2 linked regions of the Oryctolagus cuniculus genome follow. The protein of the gene in region 1 binds, or shares a complex with, the protein of each later gene. Links are inferred from orthologs where the notes say so. Each region holds a gene or a part of one and is shown in the gene's direction. Other genes may lie near its edges.

What was found.
Region 2: the proteins of RAB3GAP2 (region 1) and RAB3GAP1 are in contact, whole or in part, in a cryo-EM structure (PDB 8VYB), measured with the Homo sapiens proteins. The link is inferred for Oryctolagus cuniculus from reciprocal best matches to the Homo sapiens genes RAB3GAP2 and RAB3GAP1. Residues at the interface, in NP_036546.2 of Homo sapiens: Arg197, His198, Pro199, Gly200, Ser276, Pro277, Phe278, Asp279, Met281, Lys282, Ser285, Asn286, Ile287, Gly289, Phe290, Asn291, Ala292, Ile294, Arg377, Phe378, Gly379, Leu380, Pro381, Asp382, Arg385, Cys395, Thr397, Leu398, Arg407, Arg415; in NP_036365.1 of Homo sapiens: Thr19, Ser21, Trp23, Glu24, Glu142, Ser143, Asn146, Leu147, Leu149, Ser150, Ser153, Ile154, Ile169, His170, Trp173, Arg174, Met176, Arg187, Asp189, Glu191, Met192, Val193, His194, Leu195, Arg196, Pro199, Tyr202, Ile211, Ser214, Lys215.

Annotation. Positions count from the first base shown.
Region 1 is NC_091444.1:34,577,376-34,583,665, reverse strand, and holds part of RAB3GAP2 (rab3 GTPase-activating protein non-catalytic subunit), read left to right. Parts: coding exon 1-125; intron 126-894; coding exon 895-974; intron 975-1,105; coding exon 1,106-1,195; intron 1,196-3,081; coding exon 3,082-3,221; intron 3,222-5,182; coding exon 5,183-5,399; intron 5,400-5,967; coding exon 5,968-6,111; intron 6,112-6,290. UniProt on the Homo sapiens protein: Regulatory subunit of the Rab3 GTPase-activating (Rab3GAP) complex composed of RAB3GAP1 and RAB3GAP2, which has GTPase-activating protein (GAP) activity towards various Rab3 subfamily members (RAB3A, RAB3B, RAB3C and RAB3D), RAB5A and RAB43, and guanine nucleotide exchange factor (GEF) activity towards RAB18.
Region 2 is NC_091434.1:108,473,285-108,479,574, reverse strand, and holds part of RAB3GAP1 (rab3 GTPase-activating protein catalytic subunit), read left to right. Parts: intron 1-955; coding exon 956-1,048; intron 1,049-1,496; coding exon 1,497-1,666; intron 1,667-5,578; coding exon 5,579-5,668; intron 5,669-6,290. UniProt on the Homo sapiens protein: Catalytic subunit of the Rab3 GTPase-activating (Rab3GAP) complex composed of RAB3GAP1 and RAB3GAP2, which has GTPase-activating protein (GAP) activity towards various Rab3 subfamily members (RAB3A, RAB3B, RAB3C and RAB3D), RAB5A and RAB43, and guanine nucleotide exchange factor (GEF) activity towards RAB18.

The DNA of each region.
Region 1 (6,290 bases):
ATCAAATGAAGACTGCCTCCAATATTGGTGGATTTAATGCAGCAATTAAAAACAGTCCACCTGCCATGTCTCAGTACATCACTGTAGGGTCCAATCCATTTACGGGCTTCTTCTATGCTTTAGAGGTATGAGTTTCATCAGTGACTGTGATTATGAGCCAGGCCACTCTTTTCAGCTTGTCTATAAATTATATATAGTTCCTTAGCCTGAAATGAAGAAGTTTACATTTCTCAACTAGGTTTCTTCTAAATTCTTTAGATTAAGTAAAACAAACAAACCTCTTGTTTCTGAAGCCTCAAATTGTCTAACTACTGTTGCAGTAGTCAGAAGTTCAGTGTTAATGCTGTCAGCTCATCAGGGATATGAGTAAATGAGCATTTTTAAAGGCTGAAAAAGCTGCCAACTATAGTTGATGTAAGTGGTGAAAATTGCTTCCTTAAATAGGGATAGGTTAGGTGTTAAATTTGGCAGCTCTGATGTCTCACAAAAAACCTCAAAATTGTCCAAACTATCTAAATTTATTTAAAAGCAGGGCAGGCAGGGTGGGGGATGTGCAGCAGGGGTTGGAGAGAGGACCAGTTATGAGTAGATGAGAAATCCTTAGCCCAGCTACAACAATGCTGTCTTACTGCCCTGGTTTAGGGTTTATTTTAATTAAGTTACAATTAAAATAAGGAAACCGTGAAGGTAAAATAGACTACTAGTGATTTTATAACTATCATTAAAACTTTTTCTTTTATTGCACTTAAAATGAAGTTTTAGTGTGCCCTCTGAAAGAAGCTGAAATACTACTAGTTCAACCTTTACAACTTTTCAAGACATTTTAATGTTGGCATTGTTTATTGTTTCTTTGTAAGCTATTAATTCTTCTCTTTCAAATGCTCTGCTTTTCAGGGAAGCACACAACCATTATTATCTCATGTTGCACTAGCAGTTGCAAGTAAACTCACTTCTGCTTTATTTAATGCTGCCAGGTAATTACATAAAAATTAAATTTAAAAGTCTCTAATTTGTATCTAGCTTAGTTTTAACTTATATTTTGAGAGTCTGCACTTCACACTCTGGAAGCTCTTCTACTTTTGTTGTAAATGTCCTTTCTTTTCAGTGGTTGGCTTGGTTGGAAAAGTAAGCATGAAGAAGAAGCTGTCCAGAAGCAAAAGCCGAAGGTTGAACCAGCTACTCCATTAGCTGTAAGGCAAGTCTGTTGTGCTTCTCAAATTTTAGTGCTTTGAAATTCATGGTCTTTCAGTGTGCTTATTAGTTAACTTGCTGATCTCATGAGGTTGTGGAACTTTTGATGGTCATTAATGTGGGATTTTTACCCAATTGGAAGGTAAACTCCATGAGATGAAGATTTTTTTAAAAAGATTATATTTATTTATTTTGAAAATCAGAGTTACAGAGAGAGGGAGAGACAAAGAGATCTTCCATCCACTGGTTCATTCTCAAATGGCTACATCAGCTAGCCCTGGGCCAAGCCAAAGGCAGGAGCTTCATCCAGTCTCCCAAAGGGTAGTAGGAGCCCAAACACTTGGGCTAGCTTCTGCTGCTTTCTCCAGGCTATTAGCAGGAAGCTGGATTGGAAATGGAGCAGCCAAGACACAAACTAGCACCCTTATGGGATGCCAACATCATAGGCATTGGTTTTACCCACTATGCCACAGTACCAGCCCCCTTGATTTTGTTTTTAAAACATTTTACAAAGCACCAAATACAAAATACCACCATGAAAGACAATATAGCCCCTCCCCTTTAGATGTTCTTTGCCTAAAGGGACCCAACTAATTAACTGCTATTAAAATTTACTCAATGTTATCTTCTAAGGATTTCTTCATCTTATTTTAAAATACTATGTTGTAACATATCACATGTCCTCAGTTCACCCAAGAATCAAGAAATTAGCCACAGGACCCAATAGTTATAATAGCTTGAACACCTTCTCTCTCTTGCTCTCTCTCCTCTCCTCTCTCTCTGTCTGTCTCTTCCTTTCCGTCTCTGTGTCTCTCTTTTACACTCTTCTTCTCCCTCTTTTCCTTCTTCGCCCCTTCCCTCCAGTCTGCCGGGTTGCCCCCAATAAACTCTTTTCCTTAAAAAAAAAATAGCTTGAACATGTTTCTTAGGGACTTCTCTCAAGTGAGTGTTCCTGGTTCTTTTTATTTTACTCACAGTTCTAACAAGGTTGATGATAAACCAGTAGGCTTTAGAGATAACTATTTAGTTATTATTTTTATTTGAGAAATTTAGGGAGAGTTAGATGAAGAGAGAGAACTCCTATGCTCAGTGAGAGAGAGAGAACTCTAATCTGCTGGTCCACTTTCCAAATGCTCACACTGCTGGCACTGTGGCACAGCAGTTTAAGCTACCATTTGTAGTGCTGATATTCCATATGGATGCCAGTTCGAGTCCCATGTTCCTGCTTCCCATCCAGTTCCCTGCTAATGCTCCTGGGAAAAGCAGCAAAGGATGGCCTAAGTGCTTGGGCCCCTGCACACACATGGGATGCCCAGAAGAAGTTCCTGGCTCCTGGCTTCAGACCAGCCATTTGGGGAGTTAACCAATGGATAGAAGATTTCTCTTTCTCTCTTTCTGTTTCTCCTCTCTCCCTGTAACTCTTTCAAATAAATAAATAAGTCTTTAAAAAAAAAAAAAGAAGATACACTGGTGTCAGCAATTTATGATATCTAATATAAAAGTGAACTAAGTTGAAACAAGAACTTAAAATAGACAAAAGGTGTCTGTGTAGAGGCAAAGTATTCTAAAATTGAATTGGCTGTGAGGGTCTTGTTGTGTATGACATGTTTCTTAGGAAAAGATAGTTACAGTTCTATTCCCTAGAAATAAAAGGCTGTGGAATCTGTATAGAAACCAACATAGGATGGTATTTTAATTTCATTTCTTTTATGTATTTTAGATTGCAAATATTAGGTGTGATTAACCAGTAAATGAATTGGTAAGCTAGGCAACGTTCATATTTCTTTAGGTAAAGATAGTTGTCACCTATTTTATTTTTTCATTTCATTATTTTATGTATTTATAGATTGGAATGTGATTTGAGCTTTTTTTTTTTCTTTTAAATACCAGATTTGGACTTCCAGATTCTAGACGGCATGGTGAAAGCATATGTCTGTCTCCATGTAACACACTGGCAGCAGTAACTGATGATTTTGGGAGAGTTATTTTATTGGATGTATCTAGAGGGATTGCAATACGCATGTGGAAAGGTACTTCTTTACAAAAATCTATAGAAAACATTTATTCACTTTTTTCTCTTAACATTAAGCAATGTTATCATTCTTCAGCCTCTAGCTAAGAATGCTGTTTAACCCTTCAGGTTTTTCTTTTCGTGTCAAAATGAACTCAGATTGGCAACACTTGATCCAGTATTAATCATTTTATAAGTTTGAACACCTCATAGGCACTTTTAACCTCTGTCTTATATGCTTTAAGTCTTTAAATTCTCACTGTCATCAATTTCTCAATTCAATTTCTTGCCCCAGCTATACTCATTACCCTTCACAAGGCCATGCTTGTGCCAAATGTCACATCCTAGTGCTTGGATCAGTCCACTTGGTTTATCAGTAACTATGTCAAGCAGGAGTTTCATTCAGCTGCTAGCAGCAGACTCAGTTATTGGTTTGACGTGATGTCACCACAGCATCCTAAGGAACCCAGTCTGCTTCCACATAGCTGCCCTACGCAGGGTCTCAGGCCAGCCACCTTCTCTGCTTTCCAAGAAGAGAAGAGAAGAGAAGATACTCCTGCCAGTCGAGTCTACTTTGAAGACACTGCCCAAAGTCCTTCCAGTCTTTATCTACATGCAGTACATTAGCCAGGACTTAGTTATGAGAGACTTGAAAGTGCCTTTGAACTGGGTACATTGTAAACCTGAGTAAAATAAAATGTCCAGACTTAAGAAGATGGGAGACTACATTGTTTAAAATCATCTGGAATAGCAATGTGTTGGAAACCATAATTAATGTACAATCTTTATGGTGTAAAGAATAATAGATTTGAGAATATTAAATCACTCTGGACCAGATTGAGGTCCCTATCATGTTCTTGCCAAAGAATCTGTACAGTGACAGGCACTTGTTTTATCTGCTACTTGTTGAAGTATCTGTAGAAGCAAGTTTCAGTGCTGTACATCCATCATTTCTTGGTGTTTGTCTCTGCAACATAATCGAAGGTGAGAAAATACAGCTGTACCAATTTGCCCAAATTTGCTTTGGTAATCTTGTTGCTGGCATTGTTACCTGTCTTTCTGCAGTTGGTGCAGTTTTCTTTTACATTGTGTGCTTGGGAGGGTAGCATCAATTGCCTAGGAGAGGGGGTGCCCTAAAACTGAAGATAGTGTTAGCTGCTGCTTCTTCATTCACACAGGGAATTCCTCATGTCACCATGCAGCCCATGTTTTCCCTCTGTCTACTGCCAAGGGGCTTGAATAGCAGAAAATCAACTTGTTTTTGTTTTTAAATTTTAAATGGGCTTTTATCTTAAAGCCAAACATAATCTCCCCAGAATATTTTTTTTAAGATTTAATTTATTTATTTGAAAGGCAGAGTTGCAGAGGCAGAGAGAGAGACAGAGACAGAGAAGTCTTCCATCCTCTAGGTCACTCCTCAAATGGCCACAATGGCTAGAGCTGGGCTGATCCGAAGCCAGATGCTTCTTCCAAGTTTCCAACATGGGTGCAGGGGCCCGAGCACTTTGAGCCATCTTCTGCTGCTTTCCCAGGCTACAGCAGAGAGCTGGATTGGAAGTGGAGCAGCCTGGACTTGGAACCAGCACCCATAAGGGATGCCAGCACTGCAGGCGGTGGCTTTACCCCCTACACCACAGTGCCGGCCCCCAGAATTTTTTTAAAGGAGGGAATCTTTTAAAGAGAGGGAGAGATGGAGATGAGAGCAGGCAGGAACACTCAAGAGGCTTCAGTTATAGCTACACTATTTTCTTTTTAAAGAAAAAAAGTGATCTGAAACAAATAAAGCAAAATACTAAGATTTGATAAGGCTTGGTGACAGATTGAATGTTTATTATATTTATTGTTATCTTGTCTAAGATATTTTAAAGTAAAAAGATAATACTCTACCACTCTCCTGTAGATATTCCAAAATGCTTCTGGAGGCTGCTGCTGAACGTTGATTAATAAACTAATTAACTTTCCCTGTCCTCTGTATCCAAGGCTACCGTGATGCACAAATTGGATGGATTCAAATTGTAGAAGATCTCCACGAAAGGGTACCAGAAAAGGTGGACTTTTCCCCCTTTGGAAATACTCAGGGTCCAAGTCGAGTAGCTCAGTTCCTCGTGATTTATGCCCCACGAAGGGGAATTCTAGAGGTGTGGAGCACACAGCAGGGACCTAGAGTAGGAGCTTTCAACGTGGGAAAGCACTGCAGGTAAGCTGCAAACCCTGGCATTTTGCAGGCTACAAAAAGAAATACAGGAATGCTTTTATTAAAATAAAGCTTTTGTTAAAGCTACTCATTAGGCTGCAAGCTGTGTGGGAATTGTAATGTCCTTTATTATGGCTTTTCCTGTGAGTGCCTGGTACATAATTAAGGATGAAGTACTTAGTAATAAAGAAATGCTATTGCAAAATGCCATCATTTTGCTGTTGAATTTAAGTCAGCTTGGTGCTGCTTATGCTGTCTAGACTGAAAAGGAAAACTTCCTTCAGATTCTCCTAGTGATGATGTTAAGTGAGGTGAATGTTTTGTTTGCCATCAAATATGGGCCTGATTGTGTTCATTTAATTTTGTAGAATCTTTTACTCTGCCAGTTGAGTCCTGCTTTGCTTATGTTTTGGTGTCAGCATTTACTTACCTCATTAAAGCTCCTGAATTGGTAATATTGTAGAGTTCTCTAAACTTGTAAATCTGTAGGGTTCTCTAACTATACTAAAAGCACCTTTTGATATTTCTCCTTTTGCTAATGTTTTGCCACATTGGTGTGTGATTTCCTTAGGTTACTGTATCCTGGCTATAAAATAATGGGCTTGAATAATGTTATCAGTCAGAGTTGGCAGCCACAGACTTACCAGATCTGTCTTGTGGACCCTGTGTCTGGAAGTGTGAAAACGGTGAATGTTCCTTTCCATTTGGCACTGAGGTAAGGCTTATTGAGTGTCTGCTGACTGATGTTCCTCTGCTCACTCTTCCTCTTCTCTTAGGACTTATGCCGCCTTTATTTTGTTGTTCTTGCTGCTTTAGTCTTCAGACTGCTATGTTTAAAATTAAATAGGAAATAAAAAGAAAGGGGGAATGAGCCATAAGTAGGAGGAAAGCATT
Region 2 (6,290 bases), on another chromosome or scaffold:
AAAGAGGTGTGAATAAAAGATGATGTTATATAAAGACCAAGTGAAATAACAAATGGAAGTACGTAGAAAATGTAGCTATTCAGCAATAAACTCTGTAGTAAATATCACACTCTTTCCACTCTTTCCTCTCTTATAAAAAAACTAAAACATACCATTAATATGCAACAGAAACTGAAATATCTTCATCTTATCTCATTTAATCATCTGAAATGTCTTTAGAGATTTATTTTTAATGTTTTAATGGATTTTTCTTTTTTTACAGGCAGAGTTAGACAGAGATAGAGACAGAGAGAAAGGTCTTCCTTTTTCTGTTGGTTCACCCCCAAGGGGCTGCTATGGCCAGCGCTTTGCAGCTGGCGCGCTGCGCTGATCTGAAACCAGGAGCCAGGTGCTTCTTCCTGGTCTCCCATGCGGGCGCAGGGCCCAAGCACTTGGGCCATCCTCCACTGCCCTCTCGGGCCACAGCAGAGAGCTGGACTGGAAGAGGAGCAACCGGAACAGAATCCGGCGCCCCAACCGAGACTAGAACTTGGGGTGCCGGCGCCACAGGCAGAGGATTAGCCTAGTGAGCAGCAGCACCGGCCGATTTTTAATTTTTTTAATCGATTCAAATGCTAGTCTTAGAGGGACAGATGGAGACATGACTTCTCTTCATGCAGTAATATTCTATTAAGATATGCAACTTAATGATAATAGACAGTATTTGTCTCTTTACAGTTTGTTTAAATGTTTGATATCATTAGATATAGTTATTTTCCTTTTATTATAGAAGGAAATCTAAGGAATTATTTTTAATAAAAAAAGAAGGAACAAAGCTACCTTTGGAAAAACTAAATGGCTTAACTTTTCTACCATATGTTAGTTAATAGCTTTTGTGGAAAGACATATGCTTTAATTTATAGGACTGATTGCTTTCAGTTTAGTGTCATAAATGAATAATGGCTTTTCTATGTAGGTGATTTTGTTACTGAGTTTTTTAAAATTTGCCGTCGAAAGGAGTCAACTGATGAGATCCTTGGACGATCCACATTTGAGGAAGAAGGAAGAGGTGACGTATTTTTTTTTTTAAATGTTATTTTCAAATATGTTACCCTTTTTCTTTAGCACATTTTTCCAGCAAATTTTCATCTAAGTTTTGATGGACTAGACAGGTACTATTTGTTTCCAGGTTTATATCCAGAGCTTGTTAAGACATTAAGTGCATTTATGAAGTTTTTTTGTTTTTGTTTTTGCATCAAAAATGTAGGATATTTTGAAAAGTAGAGTCTTGATGGTTTATTTTTGATGTCCTGTGGAAAAAAATACCTTTTGTGATACCTTTGTCATTTCATGCTTCTATATAAAGCTTAATGTAGTTACTAAAATTTTATAATTCTGAGTCCATCGAAAACTAATAAAAAGAATATACAATCATCAATTTACTCAGCATTTTAAGATATTTTATAAAGGTTGCTATGGTTGTTGATATCATTCATATTTATGTCTTATTTTTATAGAAATTGCTGATATAACTCATGCTTTGTCAAAGTTGACAGAGCCAGCACCTGTTCCAATTCATAAATTATCAGTTTCAAATATGGTACACACTGCAAAGAAGAAAATACGAAAACACAGAGGTGTAGAAGAATCACCACTGAATAATGATGTCCTCAATACCATTCTCTTGGTAACTAAGTGTCCTTTCTTTCTATGTCTCTATATATGAGCATTTATTCATTATATATTTAGTCCCTTCTTTATGGCAAGCAGTGAATTGAGAATGTACTGGTAAGATGAATGAAACAAAGTCTCCACAGTCAGAGAATTCCCACAGATGTAGTGGAAAGCAGGGAAGTAGACAGTAGTTAAAACTTAATGTGGCCAGTGAGAAGTCTAACAAAGGAGCTGTAAGAACACAGCAGAGAATATGTCTATCTCTGGGCCATGGGAATCAGCTAACGCTTTGTAAGGAGGCACCTTTGAGCTTTATCTTGAAGTAAAAGCTTTAGAAGTAGAGGAAGAACAGAGTCCCTGGGAATGTTCAGGGATGAAACTGAAGAGGTAGCGGGTAACCTGCCATCTGAAACAGTGTATCTTTTTTTGTTTTTACTTATTTTGAAGATTTATTTATTTTTATTTGAAAGAGTTACAGAGAGAGAGAAAGGAGAGAGATCTTCTATCTACTGGTTCAGTCCCCAAATGGCTTTATTGGCCAGGGTTGGGCCAGGCAGAAGCCAGGAGCCAGGAGCTTCATCTGGGTCTGCCACATGGGTGCAGGGGCCCAATCACTTGGGCCATCTTCCATTGCTTTCCCAGGTGCATTAGCAGGGAGCTGGATCAGAAGTAGAGCATCTCGGACTTGAACAAGCACCCAGATGGGATGCCAGCACTGTAGAAAGTTATTTAACTGGCTCCACCACAGTGTCAGCCCCCAGTTTTGTTTTATTTTGTTTTATTGTATTTGAGAGGGAAATGGGGGGATGGAGAAGGAGACACAGAGAGATCTTCCATTCTCTTCTGTTCCATTTGATTCACTCCTCAAATAGCCAGGACTTGGCCAGGCAAACCTAGTACTCTGGAGCTCCATCTGGACCTCCTCCATGAGTGGCATAGACTCAGTGCTTGAGCTGTCATCTCCTGCCTCCCAAGGTGTGCATTATCAGGAAACTGTAATTAGAGGTAGAGCTGGGACTCAAAACCAGGCTCCCTTATGTGATGCATGCGTCCCAAGCAGCATCTTAACTTTTAGGCCAGATGCCTGCCTCCTGAAGCATCAGACTTTATCTTGGAGTTTAATATATTTTAAACAGAAGAGCAATGTGATCAGAGTTGTATTTTTAAAATGTTCCCTTGACAGCAGTCTAGAGAAGGTTTTACAGTGATGAGCATTGAGTAGAGGATTAGGATAGCTTCTGAGTAAGTCATGATGGAATGCCAATCTGACCCACACCGGGGCTTAATGTTGTCTCACTATCTGACTTTGAACAAGTCACTTCAGTATCTCATCAATGAAATGAGACTAATGAAACTTGGTAATCTTTTGAGGATTAAAGTTCGGTGATACTATAAGAGACATTGGATAAATGCTAGCTATTATTATTGTAATTATAGTTAAAATCATACATTTCACAATTTGTGTGTTAAGACCGTCTTGGAAAAATCTTCACGAGTAGTGTAATGAAAAGAAAACCAGACCATGGGCCTGCGTTGTGACATAGTGGGTAAATTTGCCTGCCTGTAATGCTGGCACCCCATATGGGCACTGGTTTAAGTCCCTGCTGCTCCACTTCTGATACAGCTCCCTGCTAATGCCTGGGAAAGCAGCAGAGAATGGCTCAAGTACTTCAGCTTGTGCACCCATGTTGGAGAGATCTAGAAGAAACTCCTGGCTGCCAGCTTTAGACTGGCCCAGCTCTGGCAGTTGACAACCATATGGGGAGTGAACCAATGGGTGAAAGATTTTTCTTTCTCTCTCTCTCTCCCCTCCCCCCTTTCTCTCTCTGTAACTCTGGCTTTCAAATAAATAAGTTTTAAAAAGAAAAAAAAAGGATACCGGGCTTAGAAACTTGTTAATCTTGTCCTTGAGCAAGACTCTTAGCTAGATTTTCAGTTTGTACATCATGAGATGTTGGTGGTGATATTTAGCTCACATCATGGTATGAGAATAGGATATTGTTTGTAAATGGGCCTCGTACTGTTGTTTAGCACACAGTAGTTCTCATTTTTAAAAGTCTGTTGTGCATGTTCTGTAGTATGTGCTAAAGTATATGTAGTAAGAGGAATACCTAGTCAGTAGTACCATAAAACAGTTGGAAGGCACATAGTGAAAGGACTGAAATTTTTTTTTTTTTTTTTTTTTTTTTTTTTTGACAGCAGAGTTAGATAGAGAGAGAGAGAGAAAGGTCTTCCTTTCCATTGGTTCACCCCCCAAATGGCCACTATGGCCGGCACGCTGCGCCGATCCGAAGCCAGGAGCTTCCTCCTGGTCTCCCATGTAGGTGCAGGGCCCAGGCACTCCACTGCCTTCCCGGGCCACAGCAGAGAGCTGGACTGGAAGAGGAGCAACCGGGACTAGAACCCAGGGTGCCGGCGCCACAGGCGTAGGATTAGCCAAGTGAGCCATGGCACTGGCCAAGGACTAAAATTTCTGTAGAGCAGTTTCCTTCTTATTTACATATCCTTTGGATTTTATTCAAACTGTATACCTTATGGAGTTCTTATAACACTTATTTCTGGTTATATATAATGTATTATATTTGAAAAATCAAAAAGTATGGAAAAACAAACCCACAATTATCATTTTTGTGTATATCCTTTTTCCTATGTATTTTCTTATTATGTATTAAAAATTATAACATGTATATTCATTTTGCTTCTTGGTTTTCACAAAATGCTATGCTATAAACATTGCTTATGTCACTCAAAACACTTCCTATGTATTTTTATTTTTTATTTATTTAGGTTTATTACCTAGAAACCTTTTATTTAAGGTATACAAACTTCATGCGTTTCATAAATACAAATTTAGGAACATGGTGATTCTTCTCACCCTACTCCCTTCCACCTATACTCCCACCTTTCTCCTCCTCCCTCTCCTATTCCCATTCACTAAGATCTGTTTTTTAATTACCTTTATACAATGAGATTAACCCTACACTAAGTATAGGGTTCAACAAGTAATATTTTAAAAAAAAAAAACTCTTCCTCAATAATTGAGACAAGGGCTGTTCAAAGTCATTGCATCTCAAAGTATCAATTTCACTTCTATAGATTACCTTTTAGGTACTCTGTTATTACCACAGATCAGGGAGAACATGTGGTTATTTGTCTTTTTGGGACTGGCTTATTTCGCTAAGTCTGTTTCCTAGTTGCATCCATTTTGTTGCAAATGACAGGTTTTCATTTATTTTTAATGCTGTATAGTAATCCGTGATGCACATATCCCATAATTTCTTTATCCAGTCGTCAGTTCATAGACATCTGGGTTGATTCCATATCTTAGCTATTGTGAATTGAGCTGCACTGCTTATTGTTGTATGCCCTGAAATTTTTCTACCACCCTTACCTGCCCATACACAGACACATAACACACCTACCATGTAGAAAAGATATGGTGGTCATTACAGAGTTAGGCTGCTTCTCACTTTCCAAGGGTATCTCATGTTTAAGTTTCTCTTATCATAATTTAGTGCTTCATATATGAAAACCTGTGGATGATATGACTTCACAGATTATCATGGACATATAGGGATTTTTTATAGTTTTAGGTTTTTAATAATATTAACAATTTCAGTAAAACTTACTAGCTTTGCAGAGGCATGAAATCAATACTGAAGATATTTTACTTTTATACAGTTAAGACCACATGGGTATTTTAAGAAAAAATGTCTTATTTCTGAAACTGACAAGTCACTGAAGTTTTGTGTGCTTTCACAGAAAAATAAAAGAAATTTGAGAATGTAGAACCAACTGAGTGGTATAGTAAGAACATTCCCACAGTTTCAATAGCAGAAATCATTGAAAAGTCAAATAGGGTTTTATTGTCAACAAAAATGGGATATGTGATCTAAAATGCAATTGTTTTCTTTCCTCCCCTAAGTTCTTATTCCCTGATGCTGCTTCTGAGAAACCAGTAGATGGAACTTCTTCAACAGACAACAGTAACCCTCCATCAGAGAGTGAAGACTATGTAAGCTGATTCGGATTTTAGTATTAAAATATTTTAAATATATTAAGTTTCTGGGTGTTGCTGTATGTCTAGGTTAGTAGTCTAAATATCTTTTTATTTAAAAGTCATCTTTGGAAAATTGAGTTGGAAATCATGTCCTCCACTGATAATTACCTACTATAAAACACTGATGTATCAAGAATTTTTCTGAAAATAATGAGAAAATAGCATAAATGTACTGTGTATAGTAGCTGTAGAATTCTCATTTTAGAATTGTTGTGAAATCATTAAATTTATGTTTTGTAGCAGATTCTTCTGTATATTTAAAATGAGACAGTGAGTAGGAAACTTCTTAATGGAGTAAAATGTGTAAGATGCAGTAAGATTTTCATGTTTCTAAGCCCGAGAAATAAGAGTTTAAATGACAGTTTTAAGAAATCTTCAAAAAGTTAATGGAGAATGTGTATTATGAAAAAGCTTTATGAATTTCAAAATTTTGCACCAAAGTAAACTCAGCTTTTCATTCCATTTTCCCACAACTTTTGAAGTCCCTTGTTTATCAAACTGTTTACAGTAGTTATTGAAAAGTAGGTTTCATGAGGTAAGGAGGATTGGCAAAGGCTTTTATACTTTTCATTGTATA